Linked DNA regions of Drosophila melanogaster. The protein of the gene in region 3 purifies or fractionates together with the protein of the main gene of each other region. This does not show direct contact. Each region holds a gene or a part of one and is shown on either strand. Other genes may lie near its edges. The genes, in order: Nelf-A, NELF-B and Clamp.

Evidence for each region.
Region 1: the proteins of Clamp (region 3) and Nelf-A purify together in Drosophila melanogaster (affinity purification with western blotting, with the first as the bait; one study listed by BioGRID). This does not show direct contact.
Region 2: the proteins of Clamp (region 3) and NELF-B purify together in Drosophila melanogaster (affinity purification with western blotting, with the first as the bait; one study listed by BioGRID). This does not show direct contact.

The regions. Positions count from the first base shown.
Region 1 is NT_033777.3:21,221,834-21,229,725, forward strand, and holds Nelf-A (negative elongation factor A), read left to right. Parts: upstream 1-1,870; 5' UTR 1,871-2,036; coding exon 2,037-2,246; intron 2,247-2,355; exon of another isoform or gene 2,356-2,756; intron 2,757-2,942; coding exon 2,943-3,197; intron 3,198-3,264; coding exon 3,265-4,671; intron 4,672-4,817; coding exon 4,818-5,981; intron 5,982-6,098; coding exon 6,099-6,530; intron 6,531-6,593; coding exon 6,594-6,749; intron 6,750-6,821; coding exon 6,822-6,953; coding exon of another isoform or gene 6,954-6,992; 3' UTR 6,993-7,679; downstream 7,680-7,892. Other genes in the region: Oga (O-GlcNAcase), read left to right, coding at 1-806; CG3337 (uncharacterized protein), read right to left, coding at 1,024-1,361, 1,424-1,700. UniProt on the Drosophila melanogaster protein: Essential component of the NELF complex, a complex that negatively regulates the elongation of transcription by RNA polymerase II. Has an essential role in postembryonic development.
Region 2 is NC_004354.4:7,725,496-7,730,111, forward strand, and holds NELF-B (NELF-B), read right to left. Parts: upstream 2,867-4,616; 5' UTR 2,789-2,866; coding exon 2,657-2,788; intron 2,579-2,656; coding exon 1,280-2,578; intron 1,218-1,279; coding exon 864-1,217; 3' UTR 501-863; downstream 1-500. Other genes in the region: hira, read left to right, coding at 1-250; CG12155 (uncharacterized protein), read left to right, coding at 3,696-3,879, 4,167-4,616. UniProt on the Drosophila melanogaster protein: Essential component of the NELF complex, a complex that negatively regulates the elongation of transcription by RNA polymerase II.
Region 3 is NT_033779.5:22,165,102-22,171,096, forward strand, and holds Clamp (Chromatin-linked adaptor for MSL proteins), read right to left. Parts: upstream 4,043-5,995; 5' UTR 3,787-4,042; intron 3,543-3,786; 5' UTR 3,435-3,542; coding exon 3,279-3,434; intron 3,220-3,278; coding exon 3,019-3,219; intron 2,966-3,018; coding exon 2,536-2,965; intron 2,476-2,535; coding exon 2,202-2,475; intron 2,153-2,201; coding exon 1,949-2,152; intron 1,887-1,948; coding exon 1,451-1,886; 3' UTR 619-1,450; downstream 1-618. UniProt on the Drosophila melanogaster protein: Transcription factor involved in X-chromosome dosage compensation in males, the process by which transcription of the single X chromosome in the male is elevated. Binds to the DNA sequence (GA)n.

The DNA.
Region 1 (7,892 bases), on a different chromosome or scaffold from region 3:
CGTTCATGTCTGGTGATCAGGAGCCGTGGGTCTTTAGAGGCGGCCTCATTGCCGACCTGCAACGCCTGATGCCTGTGGACTCGGGCAACGACCTGTTCGTGTACAAGCTTCCGGAACAGCCCACGGCCAACTACTATCTCTTGAGACCTTACTGCAATTCGGACGAACAGCAAGTCAACGATTTGTGCACTCGCCTGTATTTGCAGTGGCGGGGAGAGCTGGACGGAGGCAGGCACATTCCGTTCCCGCTGCCGGCGAATGTGCCAAACATTGTGGCGGATGGGCTGATCGGTGGATATCTCACCCTCAGTCCGCAACTGTGCATTGTGGCCTACGACGAGAGTAACCGTATCATTGGATATTCATGCGCCGCCCTGGATGTCAACATATTTCGACGCAACCTGGAGCTGTGCTGGTACACGGAACTGCGTGAGAAGTACTCTAGAGATATTTGTCCACTGGAGGGTGGCGAGGAGGTTGTACAGCTCGTCACCTCCCTTGTGGAGAGTTATCATGACAGCAGCGGTAACGGGGCTCTGGACCAGTGTCCCGTAGAGGTGAGCGGCTCCTTCCCTGCCGTGTTGATCTCCGGAACTTTGCGCGAAGCGGAGGAGCGCGACTCGGGAATAACCAAGCGGATGCTCACCGTACTTCTGGCCGCCCTGCGTGCGAACGGCTGCTTTGGTGCTCACGTTCGCGTTCCGCAACAAGATGTCGCCCAGGTGAACTTTTATTCCAGAATCGGTTTCGTGGATGTCTATCGCGAGGAGGCCACCAAGTGTATTTACATGGGTCGCCGTTTCTAGCGTAGCTGGTTGCCACCTTCACTGCCTCCACTTTTAATGTTCCTTCATCTTTGGTATTCCGGCTAGCGGTGCTAGCTACTCACGTCATGTCCTCGTCCTTTTTGTATTCCCTTGAGGTATAAAGTTTGTATAACTGACCAACCCTTCCAGCATTTATCGTAAGCATTGTTTTCTTACTGAGAAAAACAATAAAAATACCAATTTAATAAAACTTTTGCTAGCTTTTGTTCAGGTCGTAGAACCAGACGGTGTTTACTCCGTCCTCTATAATCTTCACGTGCTCTAGGCTGGGTAGTGGAAAGCGGCAGGCGATAATCTTGGTGTTGTGCGGACACTCAGCAATGAGTTTGTGTTCTAGATCTTGCATCATCTGCTCAACCCCAAAAATGACCACGAAGTTGTAGTCCTTTATATCGAACTTCCAGAGATCTCGCCGAAAAAATCTCGTCCGTTTGGAAACGCTGTGACGCAGCGCGGCCAGGCGCGAGTAGTAGACCAGCCATGGGTTTAGCTCCACGCCATCTGCTTTTAGAGCACCACAATGCTGTGCCGCAGCTGGAAAGAATTACATAAGTTATCTGCAATGTTTTTAAATGGACTAGGTGAAGCGTACTTACCCACTACAATCCGTCCGTCGCCGGATCCAATGTCCAGCAGTTTTCCGGCCGAATTCTTGGGCAGGAAGCTGAGAACGTTCTGTATTTGCTCGGTCGTCGCTGGCACATAAGGCAAGCAAATCCTCCGGAATGCAGGCGCCACAAAGGAGGCGCACACAATCGACAGACCGATACCTACTCCGCCCGTTGCTGCTATCAGGATCTTGCCGCCCGTGGACATGCCACTTTTCGGCGTCTTGGCAAGCGGATTCGGAGCAGATTCGTTGAGGAGTTCCATTTCTATTATCAGAAATTCATGTTTACCTCAATTGCTTAGTATTCAGCGATTATTTATCGATAGCTGGTAGCCCTGCAGGGGGCGCTGTTACAACGGCGTTTTGCACCACTGGACCGTGCACACTGTTTGACATGTGGCAACACTTTTTTCGTGCGTTTGATGTGTGCGTGCGCTTCCTATTACAATTTTTTCGAAGGATTTTTCGTGTGTCTTGTTGACGTGCAGCGCGGCAGAAAGTGAAAAACGCCATCAAATAGTGCCGTGCAACAGGGCGGGTCAACGTTTGGCATAAATTGCAGTGTGTGCCCCGCGTGCGGACAGGCGTAATTCGAAAAAATGGCGAACGTAAGGGACAGCGACACATCACTGTGGCTGCATAATAAACTGGGCACCTCGAACGACTCGTGGATAAACGGCTCCATCTGCTCGCAGCTGAACAAGGAGGTGCTGCGCAACATCAAGGAATGCTTCCCCGATCTGCAAACGCAGGTCAAACTGAAGCTCCTACTCAGCTTCCTTCACATCCCGCGCCGTCTGGTGGAGGAGGTAAATGAAATCCAATGAATTGAAATGGCGTTGGTGTATGGAAAAAGTACACCAGTGCATACGCACGCATACTGCGGCCCGCGCGCACACGTACACGGAGTACACTTACCGTTGTTGAAACAAAAAGTGCGGACAATTTTTAAATACTCGGAAAATCTCTTAGATCCCATCACCTGGCGGACCCCAAAGCACATTTCTTCGCCTTTTAACATTTCCCCCCCGGGCGATTTCGCGGGTTGGTGAAAATAAATATTAGCAACGTTTCCCGCCACTTCTGCTTTTGTGTACACATTTCTCTCTCTCCGACACTTGTGCGTGGATTTCTCTCCCGTGTGCCTCGGTGTGTTCATGTGTGAGTGGGCTGTTGTGGGTGGCCGCGGATTCATTTGTTTGTTGTGCCCTTCCCACAGAGCAATTCGAATTTTATCAGACGTTTGACATCGCAGTTAAAAGATACATTTGTATCTCCAGGCTGCTGAGCTGGTAGACCAAGTATAAATACAAATAACTATTGATTTTTTATTTGATTTGCAACGTGCCGTTATAGTGTAATTAAAATCTGTATTTAATCGATCATACCAGGACTACCAGATCGTAAATATTCATTGTATCTATTACCTGAAAGTGTATTTGAGCATCGAGTTGTCAATTTATTTATGCAACCCAACCCATTGTTGATTTGATTGCAATTTGCAGTGGAAGGCGGAACTTGAGGAGGTGATCGAGGTAGCCGGCCTGGATTCAGAGCTATGGGTTTCCATGCTGGCGGAGACGATGAAGACCTTTCCGGCGACCAGTTCGCTCAACACCGAGATCTCCGATTACGAGGACACGCGTCCCATCTTCATAGACATGGTCAACGACCTGCGCAAGCTGGTCACAAAGCATTCGGACCTCGGCATGCTGCCTCTGGAGTGCCAGTACCTAAATAAAAACGCACTGATCTCAGTGGTGGGTATAGACAAACTTACTAAATCTTACCTGTTTTGAACTAATAATTTTTTCTTGTTTAATTCAGGTGGGCCAGCAACCCGCTCCCGTCAAGCATTTTACGCTGAAGCGCAAGCCGAAGAGCGCCCAGTTGCGCACCGAATTGTTACACAAGTCAGCCGATGCGCAGTCCTCGCTGAAGAAGGCCTCGGCCCCCACAATACCGCTGCGATCGCGTGGCATGCCACGTAAGATGACAGACACTACCCCGCTGAAGGGAATCCCATCTCGCATGCCCACCACTGGGTTCCGTTCGGCCACCGTGCCGGGAAATGCCGCCCAGCGCCCCAATCTCAGTCGAACGCCTGCTGGACGCAAAGACGGTGGCATTAAACTGATCGAATTCACCGAACAGCCCTTGGGTTATGCGGCGGCTAAGAAGCGAAAGCGCGAGCAGCAACTGGAAGAGCAGCAAAAGAAGCAGGAGCAGAAACAGCAACAGGCAGCTGCAGCGGCAGCTGCGGCCGCCACAGCAGCGGCAAGCAATGCTGGTGACAGCTCACCAACGGACGCGGCGACTGCCAGTGGAGGCGAAACACCCGTCACGCCCACGTCAGCTAACAACAGCTTCGAAATCAAAATGGAACCGCAGCAACTCAACCAGAGCGCTGGAAGCCTGGAAGAGCCGCAAGACGATGAGATGTCTGGCAAAGCGAATATGGAATGCGATATCGAGACGCCGGAGTACGCTACAGCCACGCTGGACTTTGCCCAGGCCACTTCGACGTCCGTGGCGGATGGTCAACCGGGAAAACCAGCAGTAGAAACGAAGCTGAAGACGCCGCGAACTCCGAAATCCGCAGCAAAACTGAACAACAACAACAACAACAACAACAACAACAGCTTCAATCACACCCCAAAACGAATCAAGCAGGAAATAGAGATCAAGAGCGAGGAGATCATAGTACCCGCCAGCATCAAACTCGAAAAGATCGAAACTTCACCGTCGACCCAACGCGTCAGTATCCAGCAACAGCCGCCTAGTTTGGTGCAGCGCACCCCGCACCTGCTTATCCGCAGTTCGCCGCAGAAGCGGCAGAACAACGGGGCAACCACGAGTGCAGGCACAACCACAACCACTGTGGGCAATACCACCATCAAGATGGAGAAGCTGGACATCAAGCCAATGATACGCGCCACCGGTGTCTCGCCTTCGACGAGTGCGGGCACTACGACTACACTTCTTACCCCGCAGCAACTGCGTCAGGCGGCCAATCCGTTGGCCAATCTGCCCAACAATATCTCCGTGAAGATAACCTCTGCCAAGGCGAAAGCGGCAGCTGCAGCAGCGGCAACATCCAGTGGCAGCCAGACTCAGTCGCAGCAGCCGCAAACGTTGCAGGTTCAGCAGGCGCCTCAGCAGTCGCATCCCCCGCTTTTGATTAACAGCTCCACACCCGTGATCTTGGCGTCCTCGCCCAGCGCTCAGAGAGCGGTAAGTATAAAATTATGCGTAGCTCTATTGGAGAACTTTTAGTTAGGAATTTCTTTAATTTTCCTGGACAAATATTTGAAATTCTATCACCTGCCATAATGAAACTTAGTCCCTCTTTGCTAATTAACTTAATTCTTCGGTTGCAGAAGGCTTTGGCTTTGCCTAGTAGCAGTACCTCCGCCACAACTACCACGACGATACCGTCGCAAGCCATAAAGACGATGCCACTGAGCCAGCTGAAGACGGCTACCAACAGCGGACCAGTGATCATATCGCAGACTATTATCCAGCCGGCAAAGCGAGCCCAACAACAGGCTGGAACCTCCAGTGCAGCGGCCGCTTCGCAACAGCAGCAGCAACAACAGTCGCAGCAGCAATTGTTACACCAGCAAATCCAGCAGCAGACCCAACAGCAGGCGCAGTTACCACAGCAGCCTCAGCAGCAACAGACGCAGTATATTCTAGCCACACCCCAGCAGCAACCGCAACAAATTCAACAGCAGCAACAACAGCAACAGCCCATTTTGCCAACGCTTACCTCGTTCTCACACAGTCGGCCTATGCCGCAGACTACGACGCTTTACCAAGCCACTACTCCTAGCGGAAGCGGTCAGACGCCGACCAAGATTTTGCTAAAGACATCGGGCTCTTCAAGCGTGGTGATGACGCCTCTGCGCCAAGCGCAGCCGCAACAGGCCACCGCTGTGGTGTCGTCGAATCCTCCGCCATTGGTGGCCACTTCGGCGGCAGTAGTTTCCCCGGGTCAGACAACCCTGAACATTCAGAATGTGCAGCTACCCAATCGACCAGTGACCATCCAACCAGCCTCCCAAGCCGCCCAGCAGCAGCATATGCAGGCCCAGTTGCAGCAGCAGCAACCGCATCCACAGCACACGATCGTTGCCAATACGACGGCCACGCAGCAGCCCAAGTTGTCTCAGGTTCTAATGCAGCCAACTGCAGCAGTTGGCACCAGTGGTGTATCCGCTCTGAACGTATCCCCTACGTCCGGAAAGAACAAGACCATCATACTCACCCAGAAGGGCGTTATACTGCGCAACATTGGCGGCGATATGTACCAGCAAATACCAATCAGCAATGTGGGCAACATGCAGGGACTCGGAGGCACCACGCTGATGACAACCACAGCTGGGCCGCCGAGTCTGGTGAAGACAACACCCTCGAGCGGTGTACAGTTGCAGCAGCAACAGTCTGGAAAGCAGATCCTGCCCACTCTCATACCAACCAGCTCGCTTGGAGGACAGCACGTTATTGTGCAGCAGCAGCAACCCACCAATGTCATCGGGAATGTAAGTGTATAAATTATGTTTTGCCAAACATTATTGGCAATAGAAATCGTAAATCTCTTTTCCCCACGTCCACTATGTTGCTATATGTAAAAATCTAACCACATTTGTATCTATCAGTCCCAACAGCAGACCATCATTCGGCCCGTTATGACCAACGTGGGCGGAGGCTTGACCACGCTGCCGCAGGGCCTGACGCTAATTCAACGGCCGGGCCAGCAGCCGCAGCTGGTGCAGGTGCAGGCGGCGCCGGGCAGCACGCAGCGCACGATTATTACCCAATCGAACACGGCGGCGGCGGCGTCGCAACAGCAGCCGCGCCAGCAGCAGCAACAAATCCTGGTCCAACACAAGCCGGCTCCGACCCTGCAGCAGCGTTTGGTCACCTCCACCACCAGCGGTGGACAGGGACAGCAGGGAAATCCGAATGCGGGGCTCCCGCGTACCGTGCAGGTGCAGGTGCAAGCTCAGCAGCAGCAGCAACCACAGCAGCAGCAAGCTACGCAACAGCAATCGCAGCAGGCACCCCAGCGACGTGGACTCTCTCTATCGGTAACAACATTGCACATATTTCTTTAAAATTAGATTTCAATCCTGTCCTGTGGTTTCTTCTAGAACGAACACGTGCACAAGGCGCACGAAATGTTCCGCAAGGCAAATCGCGTCTCGCGACCTGACAAAGCCCTTATCCTTGGATTTATGGCGGGTCTGCGGGAAAACCCGCGCCCAAATAACGAAAACGTGCTGGTCATCAAGTTGGGCGAAACAGAGGTAAGGCTATTTGCGATTTATTTCAAGCTTCTGCCTTGGTTAATTCTCAATGCTTTATGTCAATTGTTACAGGAAAAAGTACAACAGGACAACGGCCACACGGCACTGTGCCTGGTTGAGTCACACATCCGGCTGGACTACAACACCGGTGAGTGGAAGACATTCCAAAACTACAGGCTGCAGGACCAGAGTGCCGCCTCATAGTCCACAAGGGTCATACGCATAGTTCGCAGCAACAAGTGAGCAGGGACAGCCAGGCTGCAACTGGTTTGTGCGTATATGGATTGTTGAATATGTATTTTAATTTGTCATCCGTTCTGCATGGGCTGCTTCGCTGCCGCCCCTAATTAGGCTATTATAAACCCCCTCTCTCCTAAAAACCCTCACCACAACCTCCCGCAGTCAGCAAGACGCCCTAAGAAATGCTGGATATAATGAAACTATTTTATAATTAAGATAATTTAGCTGTACAGTTGTTTAGAATGTAGTAAAGGCTAGCGCTTAAACATTTAGTAAACAGGCCCGTTCGTACATCCATAAAAACACCCATTCATCCAAGCACACTGGCATAATCACCTCTGGCTGAACGCTTCACTGGAGAGCAGTTGGCAAGGCGGATGGGCCAGAAGTGAGCGTTTGGACGGATCACATAGGCACACACACATGCCTCACACATGCATTTTAAAACTGCATATATATACCTAGCTTATGTAATTGCTGTCGAGTAAAAAGTGTGTAATTATCTTACCAAGCAGCATAAAATTTAGAGACGCTGATCGGCGCTCGTATTCATTAGAAATCTAATGAAAATATATTTAGTTTTAGATATATATGTATGAGTCGCAGCCACCACAGCAAAATTAACTTAAATCTTGAAATGTGTAATAGACAAACAATAAAACTAGCATATGTATTTATGGCTTAAATGTTAAAACATCTGCTCTTGTGCTTGATTATGGAAAATGTAGGTCATGCAAACGTCAACTCACTCGGATATTCAAACACTCGATCAATTGATCAATTTGGTTATCAAGTGGTCTGCGCCCAAGTGGAATTCTAAAGACCTATTGGCGTGGTATGTGATTGAATTTTGAAATTGGCTGTAAGAGCAGTTGTAATACCAATAATCATTGGGAAAATAAT
Region 2 (4,616 bases), on a different chromosome or scaffold from region 3:
ATCATCCACGTCATCGCTGTCTGTGCCACAGCCAGCTCCTAGTCTCTCGCCAGAGATTCAAACTCTAGACTCGCCCACCGTTTGCATAGATGATGAGATTTTGTCGGCCTCATCTTCACTACCTCCGTTGGATACCTCTCCCGTGGAAGTTTCGCCAGCGTCCACGTCCGGTGGGGCTGCTTCCACATCTCCGGCCGCTTCCGTAGCGGGATCAGCTCCAGTTTCCAGTTCCAAAACAGATCAGACATGAGACGAAAGACTCCTATCCCTAATAAACCTCCTAAATTGTGTGTATTTCCCTAAGCTATAAGCGTTAAAAAACTTTTATACCGAAATTTATTAGGATCTTTCAATTATCCATGTCCGTAAGAAACTCCAGTTATGTAAATCATTAAATTTGAGTAAAGATGAGTTAAAAGTTGAGTATGTGATTACAGAAACTGGTACCGGGAACCAATATTTCTTTCAAAAACCCTGATGAAACTAAAAGACATTGCCTTAGATTTGTACTCTATATTGTGTACTAGAATCGATCGTTACACTAGCGTAACAGTAATATATAATATATATAATAGCCAGCGACAACTGATTGATGCCTGCCAACAAAGCCATACATTCTGTAAATATGTAAACTATATCCGATTGCTCGGTCGCAGTGCTTTATGTTTAGTCTAAACAGTAGAATTATTATTTGCGCAAGCATGCTAATTGGGGATTGCCATCCGGTCGGCTGCTCCAGAGAAGTATATGAGGTAGCCACATACATGGCCTCCGATCATCATCATCAACATCAACATCATCATCACAAATAACCATCATCATCCGACGACAGCCGCAGGTGGTGCGACTGCCGGTGCCTCTAGCTATTGGACATTATAGTGCGGTCCTGGCGTTGGCACACTCTTTAGCGGCGAATCAAACTCCATGGGCGGCGCTTCAATGACCGGCGTCTCCGCCGCCCCGGTGCCGATTCTCTCCTGCAGAATTTCGTACAACTTGTGGATGTGCTCGTTGTGGGCCGTCGTCGGCTGCATAGCCTTCATCAATGTGGCCAAACGACCGGCGGGCAGCTTATTGTGCACATACCACAAAAGTTTCAGCATGTGACGAGAGGTCACATTCTCGCGCGTCAGTCCGGCAAAGATGAACTCGTCGAAGAGCGTGGTGCAGAAGTCCTCCGTGGCAAACTCTTCGCTCATGGGGATGAGCAGGGCAATCTGTAGAGGTAAGCAATCGAGTCAGAAAAGTAAATATTAGAAAAGCAGCTATAAATGCTAACCAGAGAGTGCAGGAAGGGATCCTCATATGCGCGGTCGTCTTTGCAGGCGGACAGAATGGCCAAGACGCGCAACACGCCCACGCGATCCTTCAGGCGCGCCGTGTGCAGCGTATAGTACATGGCCAATATGCTGGCCACGGAACTCTCTTGAATGTACGCCTCCACGGCATCCGGTGCCGGTCCCGAATGCTCGATGGTGGTCAGAGCAGATTCACGCTCGTCCGGCGGTAGTTTCGCGTGCAAGCTGCGGCACTGGTCGTCAACCATTAACGACATGAGGGCGGGCAAAAACTTGGTGACCACCTGGCAATCAAGTTTGGGCTCCTTAAAGTCTTGCGAATCGATCATCACCCAGGCACTCAAGCCCAAGGCCAACATTCTCAACAACAGGATGAGTATCTGATTGTCACGCGGCATGCCCTCGTTGTTGATCAAGTGATGCAATATCTTGATGGCCGACGTGGCCAAAAAGTTGATGGCATACGGATCGCACAAAGTCATGGACAGATCGCCCAGAACCTGCTCCTGACCGCGCTTGATGTTGTCAAGAAATCCCTGGAGCTCCCGTGAACGTTTAATGTCCACATTCTTCTCCCTTATGCAGGCGTCCAGGCACCAGGTGAACTTGTGACAGGGATCTATCGAGATGATCTCCTGCACCTCGAGATCGTGTAAGGCCATCAGTAGCTCTGCACGCAGCGTGCAATAGTGAACATTGCGGGTGCGCAGGAATAGAGTGCGCAGGAACTGCAGCACCATATCGTACAGCTTGACACTGGTGCCAATCATGTTGGCCAACTTTTGGACTACTTCCCCCTGCCTTCGCACCTTGGGCGTTGGGTGGAAGAACAGATTGTTCAAGTTGGTGTGATCAAACAGGATGTGCTCCTTCTCGCGAATATATTGTGAGAGGAGAGGCGACACCTCGTCACCAAACAACGATTGATTATCACGCCATATCTGCCGCTTAACTTCCGTATCCGTGTCCGCATACAGTTCCCGATCCCTTACAAGGATTTTGAGGTACTTGTCATCGATGTGCTGGGTATTCCTCAATATGGCCATGACCACGGGCCGCAGCGACTTCACCCGAACGACGGGGAAGCTCTTAACGAGCAGCTCCTTGAGCTTCTTGTCCCGCTCCCGGGGCTCCTTTTGGCCCATCTCGTTGATGTGAGCTATCAGCTTGTCGCGCAGCTCCTCCATCAGCGAGGTATGAAAGTCCAGTCGACGCACGCCGTGCAAATCGAGTAAAGGCAACATGGGGCGCAGTGAAGGCAGCAATACACCATTCTCAAGCTAAAAAGGCAGGTGATATTTGGATAAATAAGCCCACCGAACTTTTGGCGCCCATTTTTCGGTGCAACGTAAACAAACCTGAAAACTCTCGATGGCCTTCAAGGGATCAGTGCAGGAGGTCAGGGCCTCGCGCAGATAGGCCTGACCCGGAATATTCACGTCCTCCAGTCCAGTTCCATTGTTATTTTTCGCCGGTGTGCTCATTATCATGCAATTCGTCGGCAAATTGAGCAAAACAAGACACGAAGCTACACAATTGTGTTGTTTTTTATTGCTAGCGAGGAGACAAAAAAATAAGCGCAGGCTTGCACATGTGCGGTGTTATCGATAGTGCACGTATCAGCACGGCTTGTAATAGCCAACTTTGTATGTTTAACATGTAGTTATTAATATTATTTTGCCAACAAATAGTTGTATTATTATTATTGGTAGAATGGTAAATGTTACAAAAATTAATAAAGATAATAAAAAAAAATTATATGGGCCACAAATACAATATAAGTCTAATTTCTAATAGTGTTGGTAAAAAAACTGAACTCAAAAAATAAAAACCTTTAATTAGTTTGCCTTAGAACATCATTCCCATACGACTTAATTGTATAAGAACGTAACTTTTAATTGAGGATTATAAATACAGGGAAACGGACTTTTGCTTTTCAGTGACGGCGAAAGAGAACGCCAATTCCGCGATGTGTCATCCCTAGCGCGAAATAAGCAACAGCAAAAACAGCCAAAAGCAAAGCAAGAGCATCAAGTGCAGTCAAATTCGCACAATTGGAGCTGAACGCCAAGGACAAGGCGTCTCGATTCTTGCCGAGATTCGTGCCCCGTAGCGACTACAAAGGAGATCCTGCTGCACACAGTCGCTATCCTTTGCATCGAGTGTGCGAGAGTGTGTGCGTGCGTGTTCCTACACCTACATAAGCTGGTGTTTGGCTCCGTTCAAGTGCGCTTGTGTATGTGTTTGTGCGTGCATTTCGACGAGAACGAAAGCCTCTCTTTTCGTGGGTAAACAAAAACAAAACACCTGAATGTGAGGAGCAGCATTGGTATCGGGATAAGGATCATCAGGATTTGGGAGAGCACAACAGTGGAAACCCACAGAAGCTGAAGCAACATGTCCTCGTCGACGCAAGAGCGCAAGCGCTACCACAAGGACAACGCGCCCACGGACGACATCCTTACGCTGATCAACCTGGTGCGCCAGAATCCGGTTCTCTACAACTACAAACTGCAGCCGAACCAGCGACGCCGCTCCGATGTCCTCAACGGATGGCAGGAGGTGGCCCAGCAGATAGGAAGTGAGTGCTAGTCATGGCCTGCTTCATGTCCGACTATTAGCCTTCTTCCAGAATTAATATAAGCTTCCGCTAAAGTTGGTTTTAAATACCACATGCATATTGTATTGATAGGCTAGTGTTCTGGCGCCGGCTACTATAACACAACTCATAATTTCATCGTTACTTAGAAACGTTTTCATAAATGTGATGCCTTTGAAGAGGTTCTAGCTTGTATCAATTATCTGTAAAAGGAATACGATTCCTTTGAAACCCCGCTCATATTTATACTACCTCTTTCTTTCTTCCAGACAAGTACACGGTGCAGGAGGTGCGTCGTAAGTGGAAGAACCTGCGGGACACTTTCCACCAGTACCGTCTGCGCACGCCCAAGTACATCGAAGGGCGGCTATCCAAGTGGCGCTACGCCAAGGAGCTGGACTTCCTGTCGAAGGTGTACCAGCCGAAACTGAAATCGCACCGGAACACACAGATCACCTATGAGACGAGTGGGGTTGCCGGCGCCGGTGGAGGCATTGGAGGCGCGAATAGTACCACATTGCCCATTGGAGCTATGCTGCATTTGAAACAGCATGTGGACGATGACGACGACGAGGTGATGGACGATGACGGGCAATCGGATCACGATACCGCCACGCTCTCCTCACATCACGGCACCTCGCAGATCACCCTGGTCAGCGATGAGGCGGAAACCTTCATCCTGACCGCCTACGAGGAGGGCGTCTCGGATGACACTGTAT
Region 3 (5,995 bases):
GATAAATATGGATTGTGGTACGCATCCTTTCCGTAACTTTGTAACGATTTAGTTTTTAAGCTGTAGCAGAAATATTAAATAAAAAGTGGACCAACCACAGACACAGATCTTCCTATATAATCATGATTGCATAGTGCATGCAAACCAGTTGACATTAAAAGAAACAAAACTACAATCCCGTGTAACTAAAATGTATTCATTCTTGAATAATCCTATATACATATGAATATAAGTTTGTAATGACCGCAAATTCAAAAATGGACCCTAAGCAAAGTCCATGTTCGCAAATGTATACGTATACGTATTTATCTTGATTTAACTGATGGCGAATTCTAGTAATTTAAAGCTTTATTATACAAGCCATGAATCCTAATTCTTAAACACTTGGTTTTGATTATTGTAAAAAATTCGTTGCCACTTCACAACTTTACTTTAAATATGTAAAAATATTTTATTTTTAACAGATAATACGCAAAAATATAAATATAAGAAGTTTAAAAGAGTGCGTCCATTTTACAAATCAACAGCTCTAATTTTTTTGAAAAGACAGCAGTAATTCACATCATCTAATTTTCGATAAATTTTAACTTTATTTTACTCTTTTACGTCTATGAATATTTAAAGTTTTGTGTATTTATTAATTATATTATTGCCAACATTAAAATTTACTGACCTTATAGCTTCACGTAAGAATAAGATGAACGTGGCAAAACACTAAAAAAATTATATTTAAAGTGAAATGGTGCTTACATTAATAAAAAAAAAACGCATAAGACGTCGAAAACGGTGGAAAATGTGCCTATTTCTGGGATCCCTCTATTCTTCGTTAAGGCACTTGCAAATGGAGTAGGTTAGTAAAAAATTGTATTTTATTCAAATATTTATTTGATTTTATGCATTATTTAATACATACTTATATTAGATAGATTTAATTAAAATATATTTAAGCTTACAACTTTCAACTTATATGTGTGTGTTTATTACCTGTGCATATTCATACGTATCGGATTTGCTCGTATCGTCACCTAATAAATCCATATTTTACACCTACAATTTGTATAAGAGAATAGCCTATAACACTTATAAATACGATGCCTATACATATATGCGTTTAATGTTTAAAGATGTTTAAGTATATTATACAAGCTATCAAATAAATTAGGTTCATTTGTATGCTTATCGTAAAAAGCGTTTTTGGGTTTCGCCCATTTTTGAAGATCCCACATGAAAGTGGAGAAAGGACATATGCAGCTGAAGTGTTAACGATGGAACATCGTTTTCTATTCTTTAATATCATTGTGGTGATATATGCGCCCTTAGAGATGGTTCTGGGGCTAGCATAGGTGGAGGCAGATGATCATAGTAACGCTCGATAAACTGAAGCTAAGCAGGGTGGACTCCAGTGTCTGTGACTTCATTAAGCTGCCTGTCACCTCTGCATTTAAACTATCTATAACCCACCGATAATCACTTCCTGTTGGGCCTCATCCTCCATGTCAGGAATCTCCTGCTTATGCACTATCATCCCATCGCTGCTGGTCTGGCGAGGAGCAGTTTGGCCGTACTTTTGGTGTATGCCGCGGTGACGCTTGAGTGCAAAACGATCAGCGAATGCTGCAGAGCAAATCTCGCACTTGTAGGGTTTTTCTCCGGAGTGCACCTTTGCGTGGTTCTTAAGGTGCGCCGCCTGAGAAAAGGCCGATCCACAAATTTCACACTTGTATGGCTTTTCGCCCGTGTGAATGCGCCTATGATTCCAAAGAGTAGCGTGGCGCGCAAATCCTTTGTCGCAAACACCGCACACATAGGGCCGCTCGCCACTGTGCGTGCGTTCATGGTTCTTGAGGTGTGGTGACTGTGAAAACTGCATGCCGCAGGTTTGGCATCTATGTAAAGATAACGGTAATTAGTATAAAGAGTATAATTTCAAGTAGAAGATTGGTATTACTTATAGGGTTTCTCGCCTGTATGAATGCGCGCGTGGTTTTTCAAATATACGGCTTTAGCAAAGGCCAATCCACAGATGCTGCACTTGTAGTTTTTTTCACCGCTGTGCAGCTTTTTATGGGACCACAGACTTGAGTAACGTGAAAACAGACCACCACATATATTACAACTGAAGGGTTTGGACGGATTTCTGCAGGACAAACACCTTGGTTTTGTTAGCGTAGGATAAGGTTGCAATTTCATGTTATACTCACTCAGTTTTAACAGTAACTGATTGCTTTACCGATCCGCCCACCCCGCTGTGTGAAGCATGGGAGTGCTGCCCCACTAGCACCACGCCGGAGCCATTGCATTTCTGGCATTTGGTCATCTGCTGGGAATTTCGTTTTTTCACAGGATGATGGCCAGACCCACTGCTCGCCTCTCGCTTTGGCGTTGTACCGCCAGTCTGTGCAGCCACAATTTGCTGAAGTTGTGCTTGGGCCTGAGGAGTCGTTGATATGATTTGCACGGGATGCGCCATTTGACCTGCAAAAGATGCGATGAAGTTAGTTATGGTCCATTTAGAATGTAATCTTTCACAACTACCGTCTTGGGCGACGAAGAGCTGCTGTTGTTGTTGCGCTGTTTGTTCAGCCTGCATGCAGGACTCGCAGCGCACCTGCTTTGGACCTTTGCGTTTGGACTGCTGCAGCATAGAGCTTCCACAATTTATGCACTTGCTTGCCTTTGACTCATGTTGCTGCTGCTGCATTACAGATTGCTGAACCGGCTCCAGCGTGTCAGAAGACACAATCTGTATCTGGCCCATCTGACCATTTCCAATAATGTTCTGTGCCTGCACAAGCCCCTGCGCGCTGACCACGGCAATAGAATCGCCGCCCGCTTGGGCGTTATGTTGCTGTTGTTGCTGCTGTTCCCCGTCTGTATGCATCCGCTTATGAGCATTAAGAAGTGCCAAATGAGGGAACATATCTGAACATACGTCACACTTAAAGCTTATGTTGGATATGGTGTTCTGCAAAGAAGAAAATCTTTAGGCTTTGCTTAACGAGTCTTCCTTTTACATACAGCTGCAATTGGCTTATTTTGATTGACAATCTGGATGCGGCCTTGTGCGTCTACCGTGGCGATGCCAAGAGCTGCACCCTGATTGAGAGGCATTCCGTTGACCAGGGCGTAATTGTATCCGCCCACGGGCTGGGCTATATAACACGTCTTATTGTCGTCTGTGGTGGCCAGCTGTGCGAGATTGACGGTACCGCCATTGCCCTATGTGAAGACAATATGAAAAGTCAGCACCAATAACATATAGTAAGTAAACTACTTACATTTGTCGTGTAATAGAAGGTAGGCTGCTGCTCCGTTTTTTGGCCCTCTATTTTGGGCTGTTTAAGAATGGTGCCATCCGCCGTCTGGTATTGAATTGTGGCCGGTTGCCCATTAATGGCATTTGTGAAGATAATGTTTTTGGTAAGGTCTTCCATGGTCCCCAAAATTCGAGTATGCTCAAAAATTAACTTTTATCATACGTTGGCCTTTTATTTACTGCAGCTCTGTCGCGCTTTTCAACACTGCATCACGCGACGCTAATTCTATAAAAGAGAAAAAGAGATGAATATAGTGCCATAGGAACCCAGCGAAAACGACTGATTAAAAATGGCGACGGTGAGACAAAAAATATGTACATACGCGACACAAAACATACACAGACGAACGTTTAATGCAGCAGCTCTTTACATTAACAGACTCTAGTATCTAAACTGGAGTCTAGCACATTTGTTTTTTTATCATACAATATTACACTACATGTGTTATTTTTTTCATTATTAAAATTACCTTTTACGCAACCGGACCACACCATAAATTGCGCACTGCCTGCTCCACAATAAAATTGTTAAGATTTGAGTGGTGTAAAATTGTATTCGTGAATTGATAACGTATTTTAACGATATATTGTTTGGAATAATACAAGATATATATTTAAATAGTGTTATCTTTTTCTAACAAATTCCAGCACTTTAACTTTCAGTCCATCATTTTTTACGATTGCTAAAGAGAGATGGAGACAGAACAACGCTCAGAGATAGAGCAGACGAGCAGCAGTTTTACTTTTTAAAAGTGTGACCGTTTCACGACTCATGAAAATAATCATTTCCCTCGAAAATATACCAAAATTCACAAAGAACTGGTAGGATTTCTTAGAGCCCTTTTACACTAATTCGATAACTCAGAAAACATAAATATTTTTATATACGTTTTGTACTTCGTAATTTGGATTACATCACATGTTGTCTTACATGTTGTCTCTTACTCAAAAGGCAAACGCTACGATCAGTAGAATCTGGCTGTTACTAGCTTTCGAAAAGAAATATCTTGTGCTGAGCTGCGTTAAAAACACGTTTTAAATTTATTGAGACTTAACTTTTAATATTCTACAAGCTAAGGTAACACTGTAAGAGCAAAGACACTAGAATATTCTAGTGTCTTTGGTAAGATCATGGGCCATGGTTGATAACAAATTCCATAAGATAACGAAATTTTACAGGCACTCGACTTTTAACTAATTCTTAAAGATTCCATATAAAACGTACTTATTTTTGTATACTTAAATCTTTTAGGAATTCCTATTTATCTTTATCACTCGATGTAGGGGAGTGAGTTAAGGGACAACAGATTTTTTATGCCCCACGTAGTGACGCAAGTTATCCAACCCATAAATATAGCACTCTACCAAAAGCTAAACAAATTTCTAACTCCAATCTCAGCAGCGTTGCCTTTGCCCTTGTTTTTGACGCCAACACTTAGCCACCCGATATATAACCAAACTTAAAGTAAACACAACTTCCACTTGGAGACCAAGCCATGGTCAACTTATTGCGCTTCAGTCAAACTGCGTCAGTCAGCAAATTTGAATTTCACAATGCTGGGAAATAATTTCAGTGTAAAGCTTTTATCCTAAACATATTAAAAAGCTTAAGAGAATCCTAAAGAAAAGCTTCTGGCCGAGGTTGAGTGGATTAGGATTAAGATTTAGAAGATCAGTCTGAGTCGGGACGAGATCGTGAACAGCTTCAAATCAAAGATAAGCTAGTAATAAAGTGTCTTGTAATAGTATAAGTGAGGAAGTCTGTCGCCGAATAAATATTAATTAATAAAAAATAAAAACTATTCTTTTAAATAATTAAATAGCAGCAATTTTAATTCGCATACGTTTTGGTTTTGAGCTTAAGATCCTGGATGAACAAAGTTCTGCGAGTCCTGTTTGGTGTTGGAAAATTTCAGCTTCCAAAAGATTTAAATACTCTCGGCGCCCAAATTCAAAAATTTATTAGTGTTGGCAAGGCAACCAACGTGGTCAAATGTTTTTTATGACAACAGCATTTAAGGGAATGTCTTGAGATAGTAAGCTTATTTATTAGCTATTTTTGAGGAATGAAAAGACAAGTTTTATGGTAGTGATTTCGAACGATTATGTGTATGGTTTTGGAAAAAATTATGTCAGAAGGAACGGAAGGAAGCGTTTCGGGCATTATAACGTGCTTATATTCTTGTCTTCGGCTACCAATCCTTCTGTTCGTATACTTTTGAAAAGTTCTTTATCTTAAAAAATTAAGTTGTTTTTCTTGATAATTTGTATTGATATGCTTGAACTATTTCGCCACGACCAATTCAACACCCAAAACTTTTTGTTTTCATTGTTTATATTTTGCATTCCTTCTGGCTGTGTAAACGGTATCTCAATGTCCAACAAATTTGCTTAAGCGTTCTCTCTTATTTAAAAATAATTTGGTGGTAATAGAACTTAAATGAAATATATGTATATCTGTTTAGCTGCTTGTGATGTAAAAGAAATTAGAAATTAATTATGTGTTTACATTAAGATATATATCTTTCCCGCTTTTATTCTGTGTTCAAACCGCATGTGTTTTATATCGGCTTAATATACATATGTATGTCGGAGATTGAGTAGATCTAACGCAGTATTTGAATGTAACCGAAATTATGTTTTTGAACCGTTATGTTAAGAATGAGTTAAGAGTAATGA